Linked DNA regions of Cricetulus griseus. The protein of the gene in region 5 purifies or fractionates together with the protein of the main gene of each other region. This does not show direct contact. Links are inferred from orthologs where the notes say so. Each region holds a gene or a part of one and is shown on either strand. Other genes may lie near its edges. The genes, in order: Mbtd1, Actl6a, Epc1, Vps72, Mrgbp, Epc2 and Meaf6.

Evidence for each region.
Region 1: the proteins of Mrgbp (region 5) and Mbtd1 purify together in Homo sapiens (affinity purification with mass spectrometry; 4 studies listed by BioGRID and IntAct, counting the BioPlex papers as one, with this or other methods). This does not show direct contact. The link is inferred for Cricetulus griseus from reciprocal best matches to the Homo sapiens genes MRGBP and MBTD1.
Region 2: the proteins of Mrgbp (region 5) and Actl6a purify together in Homo sapiens (co-immunoprecipitation; 4 studies listed by BioGRID and IntAct, with this or other methods). This does not show direct contact. The link is inferred for Cricetulus griseus from reciprocal best matches to the Homo sapiens genes MRGBP and ACTL6A.
Region 3: the proteins of Mrgbp (region 5) and Epc1 purify together in Homo sapiens (affinity purification with mass spectrometry; 6 studies listed by BioGRID and IntAct, counting the BioPlex papers as one, with this or other methods). This does not show direct contact. The link is inferred for Cricetulus griseus from reciprocal best matches to the Homo sapiens genes MRGBP and EPC1.
Region 4: the proteins of Mrgbp (region 5) and Vps72 purify together in Homo sapiens (co-immunoprecipitation; 5 studies listed by BioGRID and IntAct, counting the BioPlex papers as one, with this or other methods). This does not show direct contact. The link is inferred for Cricetulus griseus from reciprocal best matches to the Homo sapiens genes MRGBP and VPS72.
Region 6: the proteins of Mrgbp (region 5) and Epc2 purify together in Homo sapiens (co-immunoprecipitation; 4 studies listed by BioGRID and IntAct, counting the BioPlex papers as one, with this or other methods). This does not show direct contact. The link is inferred for Cricetulus griseus from reciprocal best matches to the Homo sapiens genes MRGBP and EPC2.
Region 7: the proteins of Mrgbp (region 5) and Meaf6 purify together in Homo sapiens (co-immunoprecipitation; 4 studies listed by BioGRID and IntAct, counting the BioPlex papers as one, with this or other methods). This does not show direct contact. The link is inferred for Cricetulus griseus from reciprocal best matches to the Homo sapiens genes MRGBP and MEAF6.

The regions. Positions count from the first base shown.
Region 1 is NC_048600.1:106,796,784-106,801,074, reverse strand, and holds the start of Mbtd1 (MBT domain-containing protein 1), read right to left. Parts: upstream 2,801-4,291; 5' UTR 2,562-2,800; exon of another isoform or gene 2,558-2,561; intron 2,509-2,557; exon of another isoform or gene 2,267-2,508; intron 1,612-2,266; exon of another isoform or gene 1,551-1,611; intron 1-1,550. Other genes in the region: Utp18 (U3 small nucleolar RNA-associated protein 18 homolog), read left to right, coding at 2,969-3,352. UniProt on the Homo sapiens protein: Chromatin reader component of the NuA4 histone acetyltransferase complex, a multiprotein complex involved in transcriptional activation of select genes principally by acetylation of nucleosomal histones H4 and H2A.
Region 2 is NW_023276806.1:116,638,970-116,642,469, reverse strand, and holds part of Actl6a (actin-like protein 6A), read left to right. Parts: intron 1-77; coding exon 78-175; intron 176-2,375; coding exon 2,376-2,470; intron 2,471-2,720; coding exon 2,721-2,827; intron 2,828-2,924; coding exon 2,925-3,014; intron 3,015-3,500.
Region 3 is NC_048596.1:208,059,696-208,063,876, reverse strand, and holds the start of Epc1 (enhancer of polycomb homolog 1), read right to left. Parts: upstream 2,801-4,181; 5' UTR 2,539-2,800; coding exon 2,386-2,538; intron 1-2,385. UniProt on the Homo sapiens protein: Component of the NuA4 histone acetyltransferase (HAT) complex, a multiprotein complex involved in transcriptional activation of select genes principally by acetylation of nucleosomal histones H4 and H2A.
Region 4 is NW_023276806.1:61,386,911-61,391,037, forward strand, and holds the start of Vps72 (vacuolar protein sorting-associated protein 72 homolog), read right to left. Parts: upstream 2,801-4,127; 5' UTR 2,729-2,800; coding exon 2,612-2,728; intron 1-2,611. UniProt on the Homo sapiens protein: Deposition-and-exchange histone chaperone specific for H2AZ1, specifically chaperones H2AZ1 and deposits it into nucleosomes.
Region 5 is NC_048599.1:1,357,064-1,361,151, forward strand, and holds the start of Mrgbp (MRG/MORF4L-binding protein), read right to left. Parts: upstream 2,801-4,088; 5' UTR 2,722-2,800; coding exon 2,574-2,721; intron 2,125-2,573; coding exon 2,003-2,124; intron 1,078-2,002; coding exon 996-1,077; intron 687-995; coding exon 612-686; intron 255-611; coding exon 67-254; 3' UTR 1-66.
Region 6 is NC_048599.1:124,755,247-124,757,822, forward strand, and holds part of Epc2 (enhancer of polycomb homolog 2), read right to left. Parts: intron 1,827-2,576; coding exon 1,667-1,826; intron 847-1,666; coding exon 513-846; intron 1-512. UniProt on the Homo sapiens protein: May play a role in transcription or DNA repair.
Region 7 is NC_048595.1:27,952,502-27,956,001, forward strand, and holds part of Meaf6 (chromatin modification-related protein MEAF6), read right to left. Parts: intron 2,527-3,500; coding exon 2,334-2,526; intron 1,924-2,333; exon of another isoform or gene 1,787-1,923; intron 1,467-1,786; exon of another isoform or gene 1,339-1,466; intron 1-1,338.

The DNA.
Region 1 (4,291 bases), on a different chromosome or scaffold from region 5:
CCAACCAACCAAAAAAAAAAAAAAAAAAAAAAAAAACAACAACAAAAAAAACCAAACCCAAAACCAGTTGTTCCTGTCTAGTATGTTTAGAATGCAAACGCTTCCAAAGTCAGTCCAATTATGTCATGACAGTTCATGTTAAAGTTAGCAGGAAAAAAACTTGAAAGCCCATACTGACTCAAACTTTGAAAACATGAGTAAAGAGCTCTGTAAATTTTCACAGCTAGGATCCACTAGTGACTAGCCCTGAGGGAAATTCAAGCTCAAAGTTACAAAATGGTTAAAAACCTTGGCTCAGGAGAAGATATTATGAACAGACACTTATTCAAGACAGCTTTTGCCCTAATCTGCAAGGCATTTGCAATCCTTGAATATGGGGTTCTATATAAATAGAAGCTACTTGTTATTCAGAGGAGGTGGTGCAAAAACAGCTATTTTCTTTCTAAACACTCTTTGGTGTTGAGGTAAACAGTCTGAAACACACAAGAGCAAAGCAACTGCTCTATCATAGGCTGGGGAACAGGAAAAAGTTTGCTTTAACAGTATCAGGAGATACTGGGAGTTAAGCACATCAGTGGGTGCCAATATGTATTTTCAAGTGAACTACTAGGTGACAAATTCTGCTGCATATTAATGTAGAGATGATTAAAAATACTGAAAACTCAAAAGTAAACATTAAAGTGTTATAAACACTTTAAGTTTCATATAAGAATTGTTGGGGGGGGGAAGGTTGCTCAGTAGGTAAAAGTCTTGCCGACAACCTTGATGACCTGGGTTTGATACCTGGGTCCCACATGGGAGTTGAGATGATGACTTCAACCTGTCCTCTGACCCCCCCCCCAATGTAGCATGCGCTATCCCATAATACACTAATGTTAAAACAAAACAAAACAACCCTTTGTGCTGCACAGCCTTCCCTTTTTGTAGGGGGCTGGGTTTGCAAAGACCACAAGTCAAATCGATAGGAAGGAACAGTTTTGATTGTTTTACCGGTAATTGCCTTCATCAGCTTCAACACTATTCCTTTCTAGGCCCAATTTTAGACATTCTTAGGAAAAGTGATTCAGGCACAGGCAAATGTAACTGGCAGTACTAAGGAAATGGAGTTAAAATTCCTAATCTCAAGAATACCAGCGAGACAACCATGAAATCCCCACGTAGACATTCTCTAGCTTCCCGAGAATACTATCAACTACCTTTAGTCATGTAAGCAGCACACTTGCAACCGACCCGGCAGGCAAAGTTTTCAGTTGGCCTTCACTATCTCTTAACTCTCCCCACCCCCCTTCCTCCACTTCCTTGCTCTTCTTTCCTGGCAGGAAAATATAGGCCAATGAGCAGTGGGTGGGTGAGGAGGATGTGAGAACAAATTTGAGAAGTAAAAAAGGGAGCAACTTAACCAGGACATGAATGAGGCTGAAGGGTCTAATAAGGGCAGACAAACGAGTATCGTTATCAGAAAGACTGAAAATAATGGAAGGTGCTTTCCTCGGCGGGCGGCAGTGCGTGTCATTATGTATGCAGGTTTAAGTAGAGGTCAGACTACCTACCACTTGTCAGAAGCTGGACAGGGGCGGCTGCTTGGGGTGACTTCTAGTGTCTCTTCCGACTCTGAAATGTTAGGATTACTAGTTCACAAAGGAGAACGAAAGGATGATGGAAGCCCACCACCGCCTTGGAACTCTTCTGAAGCAGCAGCCTCGGCCGCCGACTCCCCGACACCACTCCTACGTCTCCCTCCCACACGTGCCCACCCCGCCCCCTTTCAATATCAGCACCTCCACGTGCAAAATGCCTCACGGCACTGGCCCCACACTAGTGGGCACCTTCCCCTGCAAAGCCTTCAAACTCTGATTGCGCCTGCCCCCACACCCCAGAGAAGGGAGGACACCACTCTCCCACCGTTGGCAGCTTAAAAAAAAAAAAAAAAAAAGGAAACTCTCCTCCGATCTAGCCTTTCTCTTCAGCCAGAACAGGTGGGTGGGGGGGAGGGCAGAGAAAAACTTTCTTCTCAATTCTTCTCAATTTTTTTTTTCCTCCCAGAGAGTAGAGAGAACCCCAAGTCACAAGTTGAGGGGGGAGGGGAACCCCTTGAACGTTTAACGGCCAGCAGGGGGAGGGGAGCTCTGGAGATGGAGGGGGCGTGGGATGAAGAAACAGGCCCGCGAGCGGGGTCCCGGAGCTGCGGGGTTCCTGGGGCCGGGCAGCTGCAGGCGTCCCCCCCCCAAACCTGGCACACAAAGCGGCTGCTGCGCTCGGCTCTCACCAGATCCTTTGTGTTTTCCATCAGGGCCTCATGGGTAGGGGCCGTCCGTGCTCCCCGAGCCCGCGGCGCCCCCTCCCCCCCGAGCAGGGGGCGGGCACCTCTCCCCGGGACTGCGGCGACTACAGGGGGGGACCCCCGGCTGGGCCCGAGCCAGTGGCGGCAGTGGCAGCCCCCGGATTTCCCCCCTTTAACTCGGGTGGCCCCAGGATATCAACAACATTAGCATAGCCCTCCCTCCCCAGCGCGCCTGCGCCGTGACCCGCGCCCCGATTGGCCCACTTCCCCACGTACCCACCTCTCTCCCCTCCAGCGTGGGACCCTCGGCAGGCTCCGTACTCAAGGACCGTACCAAAACCAGAAGGCGATGAGGTAATGAGGGCTCGCGGCAAGGCGTGGGGCCCGGAGTCAGCAGGAAGAGAAGTTTCTTTCAGCCACTTTCATTTCTACTCCGGCCCTCTTGAGTCCCTTCCAATATTGCTGCCTCTGAGAAGTTGTGCTGGGAAAATTTTCCACCCCAGTCACGCCGCTTCCCCCTACACCCGGAAGATTGGCCTTCCCTGAGGAACTCCCACACGGGGAGGGGCTGTCGGACGGAGTGCGAGTGACGTAGCGCGTGAGTGCCGGTCACGTGGCGCGAGGCGGCGCAGGCTCCTTCCGGCTCCCCGGGGCTGGGCCGCGGCGGGGAGCGAGACGCCCCGGCACATGCGCAGTGGTGCTCCACGTGAACGTCTGCGTTTCTCCTCAGACCTGAGGATGCCGCCGGAACGCAGGAGCCGGACGAAACCAGACCGGAGAGCCGGCGCGATGCCGGGGAGGGAAGCCAGGCCCGGGAGCGGCGGCACGCCCCGAAAGGCCGCTCGTTCATCCCAACGGACACCGCAGGCCGGGCAGAGGACGGCCCCTAGCGCGGTCACGGCGGCGGCGGCAGCGGCGGCGGCGGCGGAGGAGGAGAGCCGGCTTCGGCAGCGCAACCGCCTGACGATCGAGGACGACAAGCCGGCCGCCGAGCGCTGTCTGGAGCAGCTGGTCTTCGGCGACGTCGAGGACGACGAGGACGCGCTGCTGCGGCGGCTGCGGAGCTCGCGGGTGAGGGAGGCCTGCTCGCGGAGCGGGCACACGCTGCCGCCGGTGCGCGGCGGGAGGCGAGGCCCGGGGGCGGAGCCTGGGGACCTGCGGCGGCGAGCGCTCAGGTGGGAGGGACCGTCCGACCGCGGGCGCCGAGGGGGCACCGCTGCGCTCTCCGCCTCCGGCGCTGGGCCGCGAGCGGGCGAGGGCGGAGACGCGGTCTTTCTCCGCCCTAAAGGGGCCGCGGCCCTTGGCATCCAGCAGGCGCTCAGCTGCTGCCTTGATTGCCAGAAGGTTTGCCTGCTAACTGGAGAGTTGGGCATCTTCGGGTTCTGATAACCCTCTGCTGGAACCTCCCCCCCACCCCCCGGGGTAGCGGTGTGCTCACCTGTCGCGAGTCCATTTCGTGGATGGAGCCAATGGCGTGGGCGGAAGGCGTAGAGCTGCGTTTTAATAATTTCTCCGTGTGAGACACACGCCCAACTTTTTTGAGAATGATCGGTGTATTCGACTATAACGGTTTTTTTTTTTTTTTTTGGATGCTAGTTCTTCGTAGCAGTTATAAATCCTTCGTGATTGATACAGTTTTGCGCTGTCGTTATTTTCGTTCTGTACCGGGTCCCCCGTCTAAGGTAGAGCGTCCCAGGTATTGTTCTAGGTACCGGAGGGAGACACAGCAATGGAGAAAGCCAATAAAACCCCTGATCTCATGGAGCTTGTGTTAGTAGCGGTAGAAAAACAAGGTAAAGGAGTACGATGGTGGAGAGGAAAATGAAAACATTTGGGAAAGGGAATTAAATTTAGCTAGGGCTGTTGAAACGCCTCAGTAAGAATGCCAGCATTTGCTAAATTAAGCTGACCTTTTGTGTGGGTGCTTCAGTGAGAGGATGTAGCAGTCTCCTTTGGGAGGTGGAGAACAGTTACTTTCCGAGCTGTGTGACAGAAAGGAATCCTTTGGTG
Region 2 (3,500 bases), on a different chromosome or scaffold from region 5:
TCTGTAATATAGCATGAACTAGCCAGTGCTTTAATTACTACACATTGAATAACTGGGGTCCTTCCTCCCTTCTGCAGTGGAACACCAGGGCAAAGAGAGAGAAACTGACAGAGTTGATGTTCGAACACTACAGCATCCCTGCATTCTTCCTTTGCAAAACTGCAGTTTTGACGGCGTATCCTTAAACAATGTGACCGCTTTTCTCTGTGATTGTAAGATATTAGTGAGGATGTGTTTTCCTTTTTTTCTAGCTTTTTACCTATCTTTGAGTATTTTTAAGTTTTTTTCCCTGTTGTTGGTATATGTACACAGTGCTGGGTTTCATAATCACAATCTCCTTCAAATATATCATGTACCTGGACCATATTCACCCGACTCCTTAGATTCCCCTGCATGCTCTAATAGTCTCCCTACTTTCTTTTTCCACTCTGCCATCCAGGGTGGGTGCATATGCATGCACACAAATGCATGTGTTTTTAATGTATCTGTGAAGAATACTTGGATTTGCAAATACCGTTGTACATGTAGTATCTGTTTGCCTTGTCTCATGTAATTTTTTTCTTCAGTTTTTGTGCAAACAGCATTATTTCATTCCTCCCGGGTAATCAAATCTCCCATGTGTGTGTAGACCAAGTTCTCTTCATGTTGATGGACACCTAGGCTGACTTTATGACTTGGCTGTTGTAAGTAGTGCTATCATGAGTGTGAGTATGCAGGTATCTTGTGCTGTGTTGACTTAGTTCTTTTGGCATAGACCTAGTAGGTCTAAGTGGATACTAAGTAACTTTGTAATTTTTTGAGGACCCTCTTTACTAATTTTCATAGTGGCTGGACTAATTTACAAACTGGCAGTGAGTTCTCCTTCCCAACATCCTCATCGACTTCTGCTGTCTGTTCTTTTGCTGATAGCCATTCTGATTCAGGTGAGATGAAATTTCATTGTGGTTTTAATTTGTATTTTTATGGTAGATTTAAGGGTGTTGAGCATTTTCTCTTGGTTATTTGCCATTGGTAATTCATCTTTTAAGAGCTTTGTATTCATGCCATTAGGCTATTATTGATTAGCCTGCTTGTTTTTGGTCTAGTGTTTTGAGTTAGGTATGTATTCAGATAGTAATCCTGTGTCTGATGTGTATCCAGCAGATTGTCTGCAATTTCTGTGGGTAGTATGTGCTTCTGGAGTCTTTCTAAAATCATTTTGTGCTGTTAGGATGGTTTTCTGGGCTCCTTTTCTCTACTTTGAGGCTGTGCTGAACTTGTTTTGTGCCCACCATGTTCTCTTGACTCTTGTATCTCCTTCTTGCTCTTTCTCCATCCACATTACACCCCCTCCCCCATTATTGCTGAAGTCCCAGGAATAGGCTGGGTGGTCTGTTCTTCATTTTTCCAGGACATGCCAAGCTTTTCTTTCTGCAGATAAACTGACCTCTGTTTTACTAAACAAGATACCCTTTAGGGCAGAGATGGCTTGGGTTAGTTTTATGAATCCTTTGTCTTTAAGGAACGTTAGTGGCAGCCTTGTTGTATCCTCCACCCCCACCCATCTCTGTCGTTTACCTCCTCTGAAATGTTACTAGTCACCAGACTCGGGAGGACGTAATAGAAGTTGAGGAACCAGTGAAAGGCCCAACTCATAAACTTGCATATGGGTTGTCGTGTGTAGTTGGGGGAAATGAACCTGCCTTTTTCAGCTGTTGAGTCCACCTGGAATTGCTTGTTGGGCTTACTGGGGTAGAGGCTGGAACCACCAGCTAGCTGCCATATCACTGCAGTGCTTCTCCAAGCTCTCTACCCAAGGTTCTCACAGCCTCTTGCTGTTCTTGTCAAGTTTGTAAATTTTGTTTAAAAAAATTTTCTCAATTTGTTATAAGCCTTTTGATCAATTGTAGAAGTTTTCAATATGCTCGTTTTGACCCGCTTAATTAAAAAAGGGTTCTGCATAGAAACTGCTCTGGGAGTCCTCCTTGTGGAAGTTCATTTTCAAGATAGATTAATTACTGACACCCATTTTTCTCCCTAGACAGCTTTTTTTTTTTTTTTTTAATTCTTTTATTAGTTCAAATTAGGAACAAGCCTGCTTCACATGTTGATCCCTCCCCCTTCTTTCTCCCCTCCCCACCAACATCCCACTGCCCCTAGCTATCCCCCCTCCACTCCCCAGGCAGGGTAACGCCCCCAAAAGGGGCTCCCCAAAGTCTACCACATCATCCTGGGCCAGGCCTAGGCCCTTCCCCATGTACTAGACAAGCTTTTATACAATGCAGGTGATAAAGTATGTTTAAAGAACTGGCTTGAACATTACAAGAGCCAGCCTGTCATAATCAGCACTATCCTTGGAGCCTCGATGCTTATTTTTCCTTAATGCTTTAAACTAGATTTGCTAATGGTCGTTCTACTGGACTGATTTTGGACAGTGGAGCCACCCACACCACTGCAATTCCAGTCCACGATGGCTATGTCCTTCAACAAGGTAACTACTTAATGAGGGCACAAGATTACTTTCCCTGTCATGAGGACACAGATAATAAAGATAGATCAGGAATTCTATTGGAGCCATTCATTCCCAAGTGAATATGTTTTAAGTGAATGCATGGCTTTATGCTTTGAGAGGATAGTTTGGATAATTCTACTCAAAGAAACCTACACATATGCCAACACATTCACAGTCCCAAGGAATTCAGACTTTTGGCATCTTCAGCTTTGTTTGATTTGATTCTCAGGCATTGTGAAATCCCCTCTTGCTGGAGACTTCATTACCATGCAGTGCAGAGAACTCTTCCAGGAAATGAATATAGAGCTCATTCCTCCATATATGATTGCATCAAAAGTAAGCAGCATGAGAAGTTTCTTAGTGAGCCCTGCCTTGTGCTTCTGCTCCTGTGTGGGGAAGCCTCTTAGAAAGCATGTGCTCTTGGTGTTCTCAGGAGGCTGTTCGGGAAGGCTCTCCAGCCAACTGGAAAAGAAAAGAGAAATTGCCCCAGGTTACAAGGTCTTGGCACAATTACATGTGCAATGTGAGTAACCCCTATTGTCTTTATAGAGTGTTGGTTCTAAGTTACATGTTTTTAACATTTGACAAAATGAATACCTTAGGGGTGGGGAGCACTTGCCATATTATCAAAGCAGTCCCTACAGACAAATATAGCAGCTTGAATACATGGAAGAGGTTTTGGTTTTAGGGTAGAAATAGTTTTAGCACACTATTTTATAATAGTGTGCTATTATAGCACACTATAGCATTTTTAAGATGCTTTTAACTGAGCATGAGTTTGAGGCCAGCCTGGTCTACAGAGTGAATTCCAGGACAGTCAGGGATACACAGAGAAATTCTAAAAACAAAAAAGAAGATGCTTTTAGTTCATGTCAAACTTAGTATAACTTAGGTATGATTTCTTCTCTAGCATTAATTAGACATTCAGGAGTATGTCTCATTGCTTCAACAATGAGTCAATGAGACTTTTTACTGAAAATCTGTGTCTGAATATGTAGACCTATGTGGG
Region 3 (4,181 bases), on a different chromosome or scaffold from region 5:
ATTAATCCATGAAGTTGGATTATGATAACTAGATTCTATGTCTTAACAGTCTCAAGACTGACACTAAATTAAGAGTATATGCCCTTTTCTAAACTGGACAGTCAATTCAGGTCCCAGGTTACAGGACCTGGCAGGAAGCATAGGCCACATGCCATGAACTTTGCTTTAACTCTTCTTTTTCCAAGTACAAAAGATTACCTCCGAATTACATCATGCTTGGTACTTTTCAATACTACACAACATACTACCTTCAATACCATGACTCACATAGCCTGTCACTAGCAGCTGGACACACACAGTTTGTTTACGAAGGATTTTAAGTTCTATCAAACAATCTAGGCTTCACTTATATACAGTTTTGATTGGCTGTGACTTGAAAAATTCTAAACAGATGATGGAAAAAGGTACCCTCAAGGGGGAAAAAGGAAATCCCCATATCTAACAAAAGTTGGACCTTCACCTGCTAAAACCCAGTGACAGTCATTGCACAATACCAAGACTGTTTCAGTGACCGAAATTATCTGTAAATGTTAATATGCATGGACAGACCCTTAAGTTGAACTCAGCTCTTGTTTTAGATTGTAGTTCTTGGGACTGTCCAAAAGACTCAGATAAGCAAGACCTAACTCCATTTCTAAAGTGCACTGTTGTGGGTCTTGCTCTTGCTTAATGATTTCCACCTTAGATTCACAAGAGCTACAAGTTAATCCCTCAAGCAGGGTATCACCAGCACCCCAACTTGAAAGCAATATCTGTAAAACTTACATAGAGAAACAAAAATAAAACAAAAAGACAAGATTCTGCAGTCACAAGTACTTTAATTTTTTAAAAAAACAAATCACTTATTTTAAAAATAAACAAATGGCACCATTCTACTCTAAGTTGATACAGGTCAAAATAAAGAGCACTGCGCTCGCAAATAAGCTGCTGAGAAGTCAGCACACTACCCACACATCTCATCTACTACATACACTTAGCACTCAGCTGTGAAGGTAGATTCAAGACCCTCCGCCCCAAAGTAACATTCGACTGTCAAAACTATTTTACTTTAAAAGGTTAAACAACCCAAGCAGTTTGAAGAGTTTTATTTTGAAAAACATTACAGAGAATAGAAAATTCTTACAGTACCACAGAAGTATTACAGTACAATTTTCCACAACAAAATTGGAGCACACAAGTCCATGGGAATCCTTGACTTCCTTGAACTGTCAACACAAAGCACCCTGTTTAAGTGGCTGTACCTGGAAACCAACGTATGCAATTCCTCAGAATTAGAATTTAAAATGTTAACGATTTAGGGGAAATGAGAGGAAGATTCTCTTATCTCTGTGTCGGACCCAACTTCCACAGCAAGGTAAAGGCCACGGCTAAAGTAAATCATTAGCTGTATAAACAATTTAACTACTGCAGCCCACCCAGTTAGGACATCTTAATGTTAGGATGTCTGTGAAGAATTCACTCAACTTTAGCTCGGCTATTAATAAAAAAAAGGACCTTCTTTCAAAATTTATAGTTTTAAGAGTTATTGAACCGAGTCTTCTCCATCGTTACTCTGAAAGCAGGCAAACCCAAATTTAACTTACAAGTAACTAAAAAGTTGCAGGCTGCAGAGGACAGATACAATATTGTAAACAAATCTGCAACATTGTCTCAAAGATCAAAAAGTTGGGGGAGACAGTGGGTTCTTTTATTTATTTTAAATCCGCCGGGTTAACAAGCACAGCCGGTGCAAGCAAGCATATACCGGGAGTTTTATCTTCTCTAAAAGTAAAGGCGTCTGGGCAGACAAGGGGCACCCTCGGCATTTTCCTGCAGGAATCGGGAGAGAAATCAGCCTGAGCCCTGAAGTCAACATGACAGGCCCCTCGGAGGCTCCACGTGGGGGACTGCACCGAGCCGCGGGGAAGCGCGCCCGAAGCCTGCGCCGGCAGCCGCTGCCAGGCCGCGGCGGGCCCGGAGCGCCACCCAGCGGCCCTACGAGGGACCTGCAGGCGCGGCCCACTCCCGGCTCGCTGCACCCCCACCGCCGCCCAGCCCGCTTCCCTCTCCGGATGCACAAGGCCCAACCCAAGAACTGAGACCACAAAATGGCTGCCGGCGGCTTCGTCACGTGACCCCTTTGTGCCTTTCGGGCCCCCGAACTCCGCGGGACCCGGGTACCAGTGGCCGGGGGCGGCGGAAGGCCTTCGAGGGGGCCCCGCTAGGCCTCAGCGGCCCGGGACCGAGCACCGGGGAGGCGGGGGACCGGCCCGGCCGGCGACCGAGAGTCGGCGGCGGAGAGAAGATGGCGGCCATTTTGTGTGGGTCTGCTGCTCCGCCGCCGCCGCCGCGGGCAGCGGAGGGCGCGGGCCTGGCGGCGGGTCGGACAGGGGAGTTAACACGTACCGACTCCTCTTCCTTCTCCATTCCGGTGGGCATCTGCGGCACGGCCCGGTTTATCGAGGCGTATTCGTGCAGGTCGGGCAGATCCTCACAGCGGAAGACCGGCAGCGGCTTCGAGGCGTCCAGCGCCCGCGCCCGAAACGACAGTTTACTCATCTCAGGCGCAGCAGATACCTCTCCGCTCTGGGGAAACGGCCCCGGCCAGCGGGATCATGGAGAACCGGGGTTTCGGTCTCCACTCGCCTGCCGCTGCCGGGGACTTGGGGGCGGAGCGCAAAGCCCGCCGTCCGGGCCCTGACACCAGCCGGGAGGGTGGGAGGCTGTGCCGCTCCGCGCCTCGCTCACTCGCTCTCTTCAATACGCCATGGCCAACATGGCGGACATTAAAACTCCACTGTGCGCTCTTCAGCCAACCCCAGCCATTCCCCACACTGCATCGCGCAGCGGCGCGGGCACGCGCGGGGGGAGCGCGGGCTCGAGCGGGCGCCGGCGCGGCGCGGCACGGAGCGCGCGTCCCGCCAACCCCCGGCCCGCCGGCCGCGGCCGCCGGCCTCGTCTCGTCTCGTCTCGCCTCACCCGCTCCGCCCGGCGGCCTCGCGTCCGCCCGGCGCGGTCCTCGGACGGGCGAAGGTGCGACGAGCTCTCGGCGCCCGCGCGCGGGGCCCTGGAAAGGCCGCCGCCAAGAGCGGCCGGGATGCTCGGGCCTGCGTCCCGGGCGCGGGCACCTGTCACCGCGGGGCTGGCCGCGCAGGGCGAGCGCAACGCAGCGCAGCGCAGCGCAGCGCAGTGCGGGAGGTGCAGGACTTAGAAATAAACCTGCACGCGAAATCACAGGCCAACTCTTTAAGTCAAACAAAACTGAGTTACAATTCTGAACAGGTTCTGTCATCAAATCGCCGGTCAAGTTCCCACCCGGGGCTCGCTATAAATACCACTTATATATATATTCAGCTCCAAAGCAGTTTTTATCCAATCCTACCCCTTTTAGTTTAATTGACGCTCGCAGGATAATTGCGGCAAATTGTAACAATCTTTGGTGAAACACAGTTTCCAAATTCCAGAGCCCGTGTCGCTAGCTAGCTGGTGCATTTCGGCAGTATTAGAAGTAAACGTTACTTCAATGCAGCCGTAAGTAGGTTCACACTCTTGCCATCTGTTCTCTGGGAAACTTTATAAAATCGAATCAAAGACCTGTATTGGTTCGGCGGCCACACCAGAAAAGGGACATTAAAAGTTAATTTATTAAAAAAATAGATGTTGATAAGACTTTGAATATTTGGTTTGTATTATACATGAAAATTAGTACCCAGGTATCTCTTTTCAGTGAGATATTTTATAAACTGGGAGGGCTGTTAGGGTGGATTTTGAAAGATTGGCGGCAAAATTTCAAATGTTCATCACGGTTTTAAAAACCTGTTTTAAGTCTGCTTTTCTCCCTGAGGGCTACATAGTAAAAATAATCACTATTCTTAAATACAGGGTTTGATATGAACTGTTAATTAGTTTAGCGTACACTGGCAAACTATCTCTCAGGTTTGTTTCTATGCAACATTAATTACGACCTTCGTCCTAAAAGAGCATGCTTTGCTAGAGCAGACAAGCAGAATACCGACTGCAGTTCTTCCAGATTACCCTAAAACTCCAATACTGACAGATCATCTCTGGGAGGAAGTGAGACTTTTTACTTGCCTTTCCTCCAGCATCTAGGTTCGCTAACTGCCTCTCCCGAAGAGTTTAGGATGGAAACCAATGCTTACTGGAACTGGCAGAAGTGGTCTGCAACCTAGGTTGAGGCTCTA
Region 4 (4,127 bases), on a different chromosome or scaffold from region 5:
CCAGAGTTCAATCCAGCACAAGTGACCACCGTTCTTCCTAACTAATGTTTGTGAAAGAGACTCAGAACACATTAACTCAGCTCTACCCTGGTATTAAGCCACATTACCAGAGAGTGGTAGATCAAGTTCCCACTAGTGTGCCCAATCTTAATGTTTTTACTACACTCCGGATTTACTGTCGTAGCACTGGACAAGATCTTTTCCACTCCTTAATACACAACAAGAGGACATTCTACATCTACCAAACCTGTTACTACTTTAGTTGTACTTCATGTAAGGAAATAATGAGACATTCTTCCTAGAAGTTAATGTTAAATAGGTTTGTCTTTCTTGAATATATCATATATTTCAGTCTTAGAAAAGAACGGATTCAGTCTGGCTACCAGGAAGCTCAGAATTATCAAATATTTCCATTTTAGCTAGATTCTTGGCACAAATATTTCTGATTTTTTAAAAATATTTTTATTTAGTCTTTGAAATTTCATACATTAATATATTTTGTTCTGCTCATTTTCTATTTTTATTGTTCCTAATTTTTGTTTCTATTGTAACCTTTCTTAAATCCTTTTTGGAAGCATGAGGTGCACCTATTAAAATAACATCTCATAAAATGACAGGAATAGGAAAATGAACCTTGGAGGAAGAATGAGAGAGATCTATTTTAAACTAGTTTACTAAAGCTGTGTACACAGAGGCTCCTAGTTAGTCATAAAGTCTTGTCTACTTTTTTTTTTTCTTTCAAAAAACTCCCTTCAACTCTCAACACTATCCTATGAGTGACATCCCCAGCCCAGCCCTTGTCCATGTTTCTTTTCTGCCACTGCCCTCTTTAGGCTTATCTCATAGTTATATATATGGCAGAGTCAGGACAGAACTGGAAACACAGCCCATGTGGCTTAGAACTGGTGGTAATACTCCTGTCCCAGCCTCCCGGAAACCACCAGCTAGAGAGTAATCTTTTTAATCACAAATATAACGATGGAACTTTGATGCCTCATCTCAGACCTCTAAATGAGCAGTCAAACTGCTTAATGCTGCTTCATTATGTCCTTCAAAATCTGATTTCGGAGGTGGAGGGGGAATCCAAGGGTAGTGACAAGTACCTGCAATTCCAGGAATCAAGAGTGTGAGGCAGGGGGCTGCCTAGACTTTGAGGCTGGCTAAGTAACCCCATTTTAAAAAAACTACATAAGGCCAGGGGTAGTGGGGCACACCTTTAATCCCAGCACTCGAGAGGTAGAGGCAGGTGGATCTCTGAGTTCCAGGGCTACATGGGAGTGGTACTCCTGGGAGAGGGCACCTAAGAAGGACATGAGAGGCAGAGGCAGGTGGATCTCTGTGAAGCCAGACTGGTCTACATAGTGAGTTCCAAGACAGCTAGGGCTACTACAAAGAGAAACCCTGTCTCTAAAAAACAAAACAAAACCTTCCAAAACAAATCCAGCTCAGGTCTACAACCTCTAGCTATCACAATCTTTACTCTTCCAGAGAACAAAAGACTTGTAGGTGTCACAGTGGGGCTTCGGCGCCTCTACAAACAGACTATTTCATCTTCTTCTCCAACTGAGCCTTTCTCTTCCCTGACTCTTCATCCAACCAACGCCTACTTTTTATATAATATCCTCAGTTTAAATGTTATTTCCCCATGAGTGCCTACCTTTAAACCACTCTGGGGCCTTCAAGATAGCTCAGTGGGTAAAGTAGCTGGCTGTACAATCCTGACCATCCGAGTTTGATTCCTGGGGCTCCTATGATGGATGGAGACTGAATCCCTGCAAGCTGCCCTCTGATCTTCATATGCAAGCACACAAATATAATACAATTAAAAAAAAAAAACAAAACACAAACCTCTCCCGGTTACCACAGTATCTCATGCTTCCTTGACTTTAAGTCTTTATCATGAAGTATCTTAGTTGATTGTGAAACCAGTCAGTTCCTTGCAGGATGGGGCTTCCCTTTTCATTTTTTTGCCAGGGGCTGGTATCCCAGGATCTAGGGCTTACTAGGCAAGTGGTCTACCACTGCGCCACAAACAATAGTCCCAACCTCAGGGCAGTTTTTAATATGTTTCCAAGGAGCTCAGCACAACCCATCATATATGGTACACTGACCTGGGTGCTCCACATATATTTAATCAATGAACAGTTTTTATTAATAAAAAAATTTAGCCAAGAGGCAGCCCTGAACGAAAAAACAAACAAAAAACTGAACTCTAAGCTTACAGACCTTACAAAGCAACCAGAGAATGAAAAGAAGCCAAATTTAATTAGAAACTGAAATTCTGTTTGTATGATAGAAATATAAATGGGGATTCTCTTAGAACGGCCAATAGAGGGTCGGTCATCTAAGAAAACCGTATTATTTGAGAGCTGAAAACGGAGTGTGCTAATGAAGTTTCTGTTTCTGAAGCGGTTCCTCTTCGTAGATAGCCCGACAACAGGACAAGAAAAGGCAGACACACAGACGAAGCCAGGCACTCACAGTGTCACCCAGTCCGGAGCATTGGCTCTCAGAACACCTCTCTCTACTCCCCGCCCCCTTCCTCTTTGTCCAGGGTTTTCCCTTCAAGATTCCGCTTCCTCCCCTCCCTCTTCCTGGGCCCGGCTCTTGCCTCCGTGAAACCCCCGTAAGTCGTCTGGTAGAACTCATCTTCCTCCTCTGCTTCCAGGAGCCCAGAAAGGCGGTTCCCAGCGGTCTTCCGAGGGGCCCGGCCTCCAGCCAAACTCATACCGCCTACAGAGACTGTGCGGCCGCCCGCAACCCCTTGCCCAGTTCGCGTTCTCGGAAATCGGAGCTCGACACTATTTCCTGTGGGCGGCAGCCAATGGCGGAAGCCCGGCGACTACAGGCAAAAGCAACCGAGCATCGAACGCTTCTAAATCTAGCCTCTAAGCCTTCTTCACCAGGCTGTCCTGGCCACTCTTAGGCAGAGCCTAGAAACAGTACCAGGATGTCCCCTCCACACCACCCACCTTTTGTTTGTTTGTTTGTTTTCAGACAGGGTCTCGCTGCATAATTTCTCGCAGGCATGGAACTGTCTGTGTAGTACAGGCCGGTCTCGAACTCATAGAGATCCTCCTGCCTCTGCCTCCTGAGTACTAGATTTAAAACTGTGTGCTAGGCCGGGCGTTGGTGGCGCATGCCTTTAATCCCAGCACTGGGGAGGCAGAGGCAGGAGGATCTCTGTGAGTTCCAGGCCAGCCTGGTCTCCAGAGCGAGTGCCAGGACAGGCTCCAAAGCTACACAGAGAAAGGCTGTGTACTAGGCCCGCAGCAAGCCCTTTTTTCCTCACCACCTCTATTTTAATTCTGTTAGTAGGAGCCTTTCTAAAAATACTGGCCTTTTCATTTCCCTCCTCTAAAATTCCAATGACAGTCAGTCCTAACTCTCACACATTATAGGGCAAGAGAATCACAAATTCAAATCATGCCTAGTTAGTGTAGTAGAATTGTTTCAAAGTTTAAAAAATGAAAAGAAGCCTGGATATAACACAGCGGAGGTATGTTTGTTTAGTTTGCATGCTCCTGGATTCTATCCCTAGCATGCTCAAAAACATTATTTCAATTAAGAAAAAAAAAAAAAAACATGAAGCTGACTGGTGGTGGCGCATGCCTTTAATCCCTTCATTAGGGAGGCAGAGGTAGGTAGGTAGATCTCTGAGTTTGAGGCCAGTCAGGGCTCCAGAAGGAGTTCCAGGACAGTCAGGGTTACACAGAGAAGCCCTTATCTCAAAGAAAACAAGCAAACAGAGAACAGTGCCTTAAAAGCAGGGGTGGGGGCAGACATCCGTAACCCCTAGCACTAGGAGTCCAAGTCAGGACGATGACAATTTGTGGGCAGCCTGGGTTACCATGGGAAGTTCTGGGCCAGCCTCAGTCACATAGAAAGCTTTTGTCTAAAGAAAGAAAACAACATCAACAACCCACAAGCAACTAAGTACCTGGCCTGGTGTTTCATACCTTTTTAATCCTAACACTCAAGAGGCAGAGGCCAGGGCTCTCTGTGAGTTAGAGATCTATGCTTGTTCTACATAGCAAGTTCTAGGCCAGGTAGGGTTACAAAATGTGACCCTGCCTCAAAACAACAATAACAAAATCAAACAGCAGCAACCATAACAAAAGCCCAGT
Region 5 (4,088 bases):
ACCTGAGAACAGGCAGTGAGGGCTTGCAGCATTAGCGCATCTCTGTGGCACCTGGGGCTGAGGTGTCTATGTTCGGCGCCTCTTGGCAGCACTGGGGCTGGAGGGATTGCTGTTGGCAGTCAGGACCTTGTCAGTGACCCGGCTGCGCTTCCGCTTGTCTGCCCCGTCTTTGCACCCCAAGTCTGAGGAGTTCTTCTCCTTGTCTTTGCTGGATTTTTCTAATGCTTTCCCCAAGCTCCCTGAAGATGAAAAAACTGAGAAACAAAATCATTTGGCTGAAGACAAAATATACACAAACTCATTTTTTTTTCCTGTTCAGCTAGATAATGAGATATACATCAGGCTCTCTGCACCTAATGTTACCCTGGGTGGGAGTCCTGTGAAGCTTGGGCTATAAGAGACGCCTCATCTCCCTAGGGGTCTCCTGTCTGAGCACACTTGATGCTCCCAGGTTTGGCCTTGGTCTCAGTGAAGGGACAGCTGAATGCTTGGCCCCTTCCAGGCCTTCAGGGGCCCTCCTGCCTGAGGTGAGCTCATCTCTAAGTGGACCCTCCACCCCTCTGACTCCACGGCTTCCTGGTCCCATTCCGCCTGAGGCGTGCCACGCTTACCGTCATCAGCCCCACTGTGGGGGTCCACATCCTCCTTCATCTCCTCCTTCATCTCCTCTTCAATGACCACTTTTCCTGTGGAGGAGACAGCTGCCGTTCACTGGAAACCCACGGTGGTGGCCAGCGTTGGGGGATGGTCTGGCCATGACTGCTTCCGATTCTCGCTGCCCACACAGGCCTCGGCGTCCATCACGAGATGGCATCCATCAGGAGACTGCCTTTGAGCACCGCTCTCCCCAGCCCTTGGTTCCCAAAACCTCCCGGGTGCCACTGGATGTGGGGTCTGAGCAGGATCCTTACACCTCCCTGGAGGCCCCAGACCTCCCCACCTTTGGCCTGGTCCGGCTTTTTTAATCCCCAGCCCCGATGGTGGCCGAGTCTCACCTTCTCGGACCTCTTGAATGATCTCATCTGGAAGGACAAAGTTCCTCTCTGGATTTGGGAATGGGAGAATCTCAGACTCGTGCTGCCGGCACAAAGCAGTTTTGGTTTTTTTTTTGTATTTTTGAGAAACAGAAAATGGTATCAGCTCACTAAGATGCACAGGAGGAGCAGGCTGGAGGCTGAGCTGGTAGGGTTCCTGGCTCTAGCTTGCAGAGTCTACTGCAGCTGGGCTTTTCAAATGAGGGAGGGCCAGGCTAGCACCAGCCCAACAAAGCCAGAGAAAAGGACCAGGCGCGTGCCACCCAGAGGAAACTGGCAACATGTCAGCCCCGCTGATGTGCATACCAGGAACTGACCTGGCTCACCACTGCAGTATTCCCACCAGGACAATGTTCCCCAGGTGCACCATGACCACAGGCACCTACAGCTCCACCTATCCTGGTACTGAAGTTACACTGCCTGTCAGACACTATAGACAAATCTGCCCAGCTTGGTTACTAGTTACCCTGCATACCTGTCACACATTGCCAGCTCTCCAAACCAGTTACACAGTCACCCATCAGACAGCGCTACCTCTAAGCTCTACAAAGAGGACTACATCTGGCTCCCACAGGGGTATCCAGTGCACCTCAATGGGACTCAGATGGGGTCAGCCTCCACCTAGAGCGCTCGGGACCTCTTACTACTTTACACTGAGGCTGATGCTATTCTCTGGCATCTCAGCAGCCAACTATCTATCTCCCTGGAAGACTTCTTGTGGCCACCCCAGATCTAAAGCAAAAGTGGTCAGAGACCATCACTAGTTAGTGCTTTCCACAGCAGGACTTGGGCTTTCCTGAGGAAGGGCCTCATCTACTGAGATCACTTCTTCTCTGCTCTGCATAGTGAACCCCACGTGACCGGTGGGCTCTGTCTTGTACTACCACAGATGATCCTAGGAAGACAGGATGTGGGTGGGACCCGTCTCCACCTTCAGCCCCAAAGCGGTGAGCCACGGTCCAACTCACCAGTGCCTGCATGTCATACATAGTGCTCAGATGGTCCCAGATGACCTTGGATGGGACCTGGCGCCCAATATTCTGGCTGAACTTGTCTCGAATACAAATCATGTGGAAATGTCGATTCACCCCTGAGAGGCAGGACAGTGGGTTAGGGGTTAGGGCTGCATCTCTGTGCAGACAGCATGGACGTTGGAGGGGCAGGGGTATGAAATGGCAGGTGGGGGTGTTGCAGGAGTCAGGTGTCAAAGAGGATAGAGGTGTCAGGAGGCAAGTGGGTGTCCCAGGGGCAAGTAAGTATACAGTAGGCGGGTCCGGGGCAAGGGGGGCTGCAGAGGCGGGGACTGTGGAGGCGGTCCCTGGGGTAGGAGTGTCTCAAGGGCAGGGAAGTCAGGGGCGTCCCCCGGGAGAGGGCTTCTCGGGCAGGAACGTCATGGGGTCTTGGACTAACTGGGCACTCCGAAGTGGGAGGTCCCGTCTCGGGTGAGGTCGCAGGCTCCGCCCGCCCGCGCTCGCCCGCCCGCCCGCCCGTTTACCCGCCCCACCCCCATGCGGGTGCGCGGCTCGCCGCGACGCTCACCGACAGGCTTGTGGCCCAGCATGGCGTGGAAGAGGCACACCTCCACCTCAGGGCTCCACACTACCGTTTCCTCAGCAGGGCTCGGGGCTGCCTCGCCGGGGCCCTTGTCGCCTGGGGCGCCCGTGCCGCCCACCTCGGCCTCCCCCATGGCCGCGGGCGAGCCACAAGCGTCCGGCGAGAGAAGGGTTGCTACAGGCTCCGCGCAGGCGCACTCGGTGTGGAGGGCGCGCGCTAGCTGGGCTCCGGATCGCCGCGTATCCGCGTCCGCGCAGGCGCAACAAAGGCTGGCTTCCGGTGCCGGCACGCCCCCTGGTGGTCAGCCCTTTCCCTGCCTCCGGCTCTGGCCAGAGAGGGAGCTGGCAGAAACCTTAGCTTTAAAAGAACACCGCACTCCTTTAATCCTAGCGTTCTGGAGGCAGAGGCAGGAGAATCTCTGAGAGTTCCAAGTCAGTCAGTCTACATGGCATGATACACACGCCCCTAAGTTAAATATGTTAAAAAGATTCAGGCTCTCCCCCTGCCAGTAATAAATCATACAGTGTGTAAATTACATCTCAGTAAAGTTGTTTGTTTGTGTTTTAAAGCCAGGGGCTAGTGAGATGGCTCATCCAATAGAGACGCTTGTGCACAAGCCTGATAACTGCAGCCTCACCCCTGGATCCTGCAGGGGGCAGGAGAGAACCAAGTCGACCCTCTATATCCATACCATTGTGTATGTGTGTGTGTACACACACACACACACACCATAAATAAGTAAAAATAAAAGCCTGACAACCACAATTTGTAGAATTGAGGCTCTTATCATCTCAGAATGGCCCTGGCCTGGTTGCTCATGACAGTCCCAGAGTTCGGTGCTTCCTTGGCATCTGGGTCCTGCTGGCCTTGCCATCTACTTCTACCTCCGTACTGTCCCCACAGTTGAGCTCCACCAGAAGTGGGTTGGTGATGAATTCAGACAGGTGTTAGTTTCTGGTCTGGCCACTGAAGAGGCCTAACTTAACATCAGTGCAGCCATGACAGGCTGCAGGCTAACAATACTGGCACTAGGCCTCATTCTTAAAATAACCAGGAAAAACCACAGACTGTACCCTGCAGGGGACCAATCAAAATTGAGACAAACAAATACTAGATGCTTCAGAACACTAAGAATAGCTTACCTAACTTGTATATAGGTTGACAATTTCCTTGCAGCAATGCCTGCACCAATCCCTGTTTGACAGGATTTCTGTTGCCTCACTCCTGCCCAATCTGGAGTTTAGCCCCGATCTGAAGCCAGAATTCCCTTACACCCCATCCTTTACTCCTTAAAAAACCCGCCATAGCTAAGCTCAATGTTCTTCCTGATCCAACCACCCTGTTGGAACGGATGGAGAGCCCAACCTGGAGCTTGCAATAAAGGCTCTTTGCTTTTGCATAGGAGCTCAGACTCCTGGTAGTCTCTTGGGGACTAATGACTCTGGTATAACAGCCACAACGCCACACTGGATTGGGTGGGGCCAAGTGCTGGGCAGAGCA
Region 6 (2,576 bases), about 120 Mb from region 5:
TATGAACTGATAGCTCCAACCTAGACTATCAGTCTATAAAATATGATGTGATAGGGGTAGAGAGACAGCTCAGCAGTTAAGAGCACTTGTTGCTCCTGCAGAGGACCCAGGTTTGATTCTTAGCACACAGGCAATGTCCTGCATCCTTCTGTAACTCAGTCCCCGGGAACCTGCCTTCCACTGGTATCCACAGGTACCAGGCATGCACACAGTGCATACACATGCATGCAGGCCAAACACTTATACACATAAAATAACATAAATCTTTAAAAAATTTAAAGATAAAATAAAAAAAAATGAGTGACTGAAGCTTCTAAAGTATCAATTTGACATTCTCATCTTTCTACAGTTGGCATTTAAGGACGCTAACTGGTGTCGGTGGGCACAGAGCTTTCTTTGTGTTAAGCAAATCCTCAAGCTTTTTGAAAAATCAAGTCTGTCAACAGATACTGCTTGAGCAGTGAAAAGCCAAAGGCCCTTCTCCTCCAAGAAGCTGGTGCAAAGCCACACACCTGGCCATGCTGCTGATGGCACTGCTGGGAGTAACCTTTGGCACTCTGTCCATACTGGCAGCAACTGTGGCAAGTTTTAAGGCTGTTGGCGATGGTGCTGAAGTCCGTGTATTGATATGCACATTGACAGGAGAAACAACACTGACGTTATTGAGGTGCACTGCATTGGTCAGGCAGGAATTGTTCATGGGAAGCGTCTGAGGACTGCTTGTGCACAATGCTGGGATCAAGTGGTTTGTAGTAGTGTGGCCAACTGTCCTTACAAGCTGTACAGCTGAAATCCCTGCGCTGGATGATAAAGCCATATTGGTGGAATATATTGTTTTAGATGGTCCTGCAGAAGAGGGGAGAAATCATTCAATTAGTGTCATGGGACAATAAAAAAAACCCCCTAAGAATTAGGAATTTAGTTAATGAAAGTAAGTGTACTCATATTCTAGTTCAATAAATTCTCAGTTAACTTTCCATATCACAGTCATACAAAGAGGCTTCACCAAGCATTTTGCTATCTCTCTCTGAGTCAACTTTGGAGATAAACACAATAGGACAGATGAGAATGATGGCTGGGTTGCCCTAAACAGTTATAGGCATACAAAGATCAGCAATGCGGGCTGAAGAAAGAAAAGAAGGAGGATGCTCCTGAGTACATCTAATGAAACTAGAGGGTTCTCAGCTGGGAGCTGGGAGGAGACAGAGAAGCACTGTCCCTGGAGCACAGGCAGTAGGCAGCAGGCAGGCTTTCACAGCCATAATGTATCCCTAAAGGAGAAGTCAGGGGAAGTATATCTAAGAATATGTGCACATTGGTATGTAAACCCAACCTCAAGCCTTATAACTGACTGTGCTGTTTTGTATTTCACTTTTTAATCAATTCATAGATGAATCAATGGGGGTGATTGATAATGAGCTCAATGGATATTTCCTAACATGTGAAGCAACTGATAGTCTAAGATGTAATCAGGATGGATGGATGGAGGCAGGCATACAGAAGACAGTGTTGAGAATTCTGGAAACACTCAGTTCCTCATCCAGATCCGTCCAGGCATTCTGAAGAGCACTTGTATACATTTCCTCTGTGCATATAACAAAACCAAACCCAACTGAGTAAGTGGCAACTTCAAACTACTAAGTATTATGTGAAACCCCAGTTGTACCTGAAGGCTGGACAACACCATTCATGTTGTTGTGGCCAGTGTTCTGTTCCTTGGATACCTCACTGCGACTAGGAACAGGAGCACTGACAACTGCAGATGCAGCAAAGTGTGCACTGGCCGAGTCAAGTGTTTTAGACATACAGTCAGAGGTGCTTGAGCCCTATAAAATGGATAGAAGCACAGTTCAGTTTTCCACATTTGTCTGTCTGTCTGTCTATGTATCTATCTACTAATCCCCCCTGCCCCCACCTCCCACCCCTGCCAGTGACAGGGGAAACAGGAATATGGAGTATGTGTGGAGGTCAGAGGACAACTGTCAGGAGTTGGTTCTGTTCTTCCACCAAGGCAGTTCCAGGGATCCAATTCAGGTTGTCAGACTTGGCAGCAAGTGCCTTTACTAGCTAGGAAATCTTGCCAGCACCCTACATCCTCAGTTTTGTTAGATGGGATTAATGAGCACATTAAGGAATGTTCGGAACGCAAGGACATTGCCTTTCTAATCATGAATAGTCGAAAGTACTTAGCTGTGAGGTTTTTTATTTTATTTTGTTTTTATTTTTTGGTTTATGAAGCATGAAAATCACTAGAAACTAGCAAGCAATTATTTCTGAGAAAAACAACTAAATTGAAAAATCCAAGTTCTATTAACTTTTCTAGGTAATAATGAACACTTTAAAACTGCTTAATGAGCAGACACCATAAATAAAATAAAATCACAGACATGATTAATAGCCACTTCTATCAAAATGTAAAAACCTGGACCAATCCAACTTTGAAGAAGACTGCAAAAACTTCAGGTTAGTTATCTGAAGAGACTCACAAAAAACAAAGCAAACCAAACTCAGTGGCTACTCTTTCATGATTCTGTGTAAAACTGCCTGCTACTAACAATGATAGCCATAGGCTCTAA
Region 7 (3,500 bases), on a different chromosome or scaffold from region 5:
AGCAATGATTTACAAAAACAAATCTTGGGTATGATGTAATAGTAAAAACCTCTAAGAGCAGCTAGTATTTACTTTTTTCTCTTTAAAGACAGTGGGACTTAACTGTTGTTCAGATATGTAAAATATAAGAATTTAGAAAACTGGCGATTTTCATTTGACTAGCACAGTTGAAGCTTTGTGTTCCATCCCCCCTCCTGGGGGGGGGGGGTAAATGGTAAGTTCGACTACTTCCTGCTTCTCCTCAAATGGGGGCATGTGGCAAGTCCTTGGACATCTTGTCACCGTGGCCTGACTTACAGGGGCCACCGCACAGTGGAGAAGGAAGCGCTGCTCTGGGTGCCAGCTCACCAGCGTGTATGAATAATGTGCTCCACCCCTGCCCTTGAGTGTACAAAGGTAGCAAAGAGGACTGCAACAGCCTTAGCCCACTGAGACACCACTTAGGAAGCTGGGGTCAGCTTCCTAAGAAACAAAGCAACGTGTGCCACAAGCCTTTCTGGGGGCCGATGAGCACACCAGGCCCTGGGAGGCCACCACTGAGGCAGGAATTCTGGAGCTAAAAACCCAGTCCACCTTCTAAGCCAGACTTGCCCCTTAGGAGATCAGTCCCCAAGAACTGTCTTTCTAAGCGCTAGTGTGTTTCTGGAAGGGATTCATTCCTGGGGCCAGGAAAAGGGAGGGATAAGAAAGAACTGTTATTTCCATGGAGATGTTCTAGAACCCTGCAAGGACAGTTAAAGGGAACACTTCTCTAGCGCCTTTCACCAGTCAAGAGCTGCCCACATCGCTAGTGCAAATGAGGTGTTACACGAAACCAGCAGGATCTAGAGAGGACACTGGTCAGTGGTGCAGAGTCCCAGGGACTTTCAAGAATGGTCTCCCTGCTCTAGACACTCTGAAATAGGAAAAGAATCCCCAAAATGACAAGAAACTAAATGTAATAAAAACAACACAGAAGAAAATATTGAATTATCTTGCCAATTTGTGTGTATGTAGTATATATGTGTGTGCATATGGAGGTCAGAGGTCAATGCTGGGTGTTTCTCCATGTAGTCTTTGAGAAAGGGTCCCATCACTTCTATTAGACTGGCTGGCCAGCAAGCCCCCAGGATATCAATGTCCCCAATGCTGGGTTTACAGACACATACAATGCACTGAGTGCTTTGATGTGGGTGCTGGGATTAGAACTCAGGTCCTCAAGCCTGCAGAGCAAGCACTTTACAAACTGAGCCATCTTCCCAGCCCACAAAATACTCTTTAAAAAGAGTATGGGTCTCTATTGTTTGTGATAAGGTAGCCCCAAGCCTACCGCAATGCTCCAACAACCTACATCCTTACCAAGATGGTAGGGGACAATTCTTTGCTGTTTCTTACTATACTTTGAGATTAGCACAGTGGTTTTTGGTTTGCAGAAAACAGTAAAGCGGTGGTCCTTCAGCACTATTTATTTGGAGGAAACACTATTTCTGCAATTTAAAAAACAAGAAAAACTTAAAAACTAAAGAGGTTGAAACCAGTTAAATTTAATTCTATATTAGCCACAGTGCCACGTCTATGAAGTTCACAGTGGAACACCTTAGGTGCAGGAAGGGACACCCCGAAGTTTTCTAATGCAATGCAATTCCTTAGCCCTGCACACCCCTTTCACCCCCAAAGTGTTCAGGCTTCCAAGACCAGGATGAGGGAGAGCCCCTTGCCCTGCAGACTCATCACCCTCTGAGCTAAGGCCCAGCATCAGCATACAAACCCAGGCAGAGTGACCACTAAACCCCCTGAGACACCTGACCTCTCTGTGCACTGGTGTCATCCCCATCTCATTTCCCACTGCAAAAGTAGCAGTGCTCAGGTGGTTCCTACGAAGGAATGCTCGCATTTAGGAGCTTTAAGTGTTTCCCCGTATCTGAAGGCAGCATACTCAGAGAACTACAAAATAGAAAAGTCATAACAATCAAAACCAAACCCATATTTAAAAAGTCAAGGAAGGCATGGCAACTCAGCTCTCATAGGAGCAGACGGGGCCCAGGACTCAAAGAACCTCCATCCCAGGTCACAGCTTCCCAATAACCAGAGTCTTTCTAGTTCCACTTTCCTCTTAGCAAGGACCCAATGCTCAGGAGTCACAGTCCATCGTGGTGGCTCCCATTGATCCTGCGGGGCCTCTCTATTGCCACCCACTCCTCCCTCAGAGAACACCAGCCCACTGGACTAGCACCAGAAGATTTCTGCCACCCGAAGCATGAGGGCTCTGCCACTGTCCCAGGCACTTTCATTCCAACCAAGTCCCTCCCAGTAGTCATGAGAACTCTGGGACTGGGTGGGACCTTGCCACTAACCTGTGTCGGTTTTTATTCTTCCTTTTTTTGTGGCTGCTGTGGTGACTCCCTGAGGAGGTAGAGGAGGCAGCCTTCTGGGGCTTCACTCCCTGAACGGAACCGTCCAGGTCCTCGGGGTCCTCCTGGGCAGGCTCGTTCTCCTGATTGTGGAAGTCAGGAGAAGTATCGCTTTCTGTCCCACTTCCTGGTTCCCCTAGAGGAAAGAAAATAGGTTCCAAAGCCTGATCAGTATTCCCCAAATTCTTGTAAGCAGCAAATGTCTGCTTGTGAGCCCACAGGCCATGTGACAGAGAAGATACAAGCTGACAGGGGATGGACATTCAAAGTATCAAAGCTAGGGAGTTCCTGGAAACCATGCAATCTGCAACAGTGTAACCGGACGACAGTGCTGAAGACAAACCAGATGGCAACATAAGCACCACCCTACTACATAAGGGCTATGTAACAAAGAGTACACACAAGAGAGGAAGACTTACATCCAGAGGATAAGGGTTGATGACCCTGGCAAAACTGACAAACCAGCAGAGAATCCTGTTTCTCTGCAAAGCGTTATGGGGTGTGGGGAGAGCTAGAGAAATTATTCCAAGGTTAAAAGCATGTATTGCTCTTCAGAAGACCTGAGACTAATTCCCAGAATTCACTTTGAGGCTCACCGCCTAAAACTTCAGCTCTAGGATAGCCGGCACCTCTCCTTGGGTGCCCACAGCACTCACATGAACATACCTCATACAGACATATGAATATAATTAAAAATAATAAATAAATAACAGGGCTGGAGAGATGGCTCTGCGGTTAAGAGCACTGACAGCTCTTCCAGAGGACCTGGGTTCAATTCCCAGTATCCACATGACAGCTCATAACTGTCTGTATCTCCAATTCCAGGGAACCTGACATCTTCACACCAATGCACATAAAATAAAACTTAAAAATAAATAAATCAATAGATAGTTAGTAGAGAAAAGGTACCCACTTGGGGAATCCTGTGGAAAAGGGGGATGAAGGATTGTAGGAGCCAGAGGGTTCAAGGACAGACACCACAAGGAAACCCACAGAATCAACTAACTAGGGCTTCCAGAAGCTCCCAGAGACTGGGCCAACAATGGGAGGCTGCATGGGTCTGACCTAGGCCCTCTGCATATATGTTATGGTTGTGTAGCCTGGTATTCT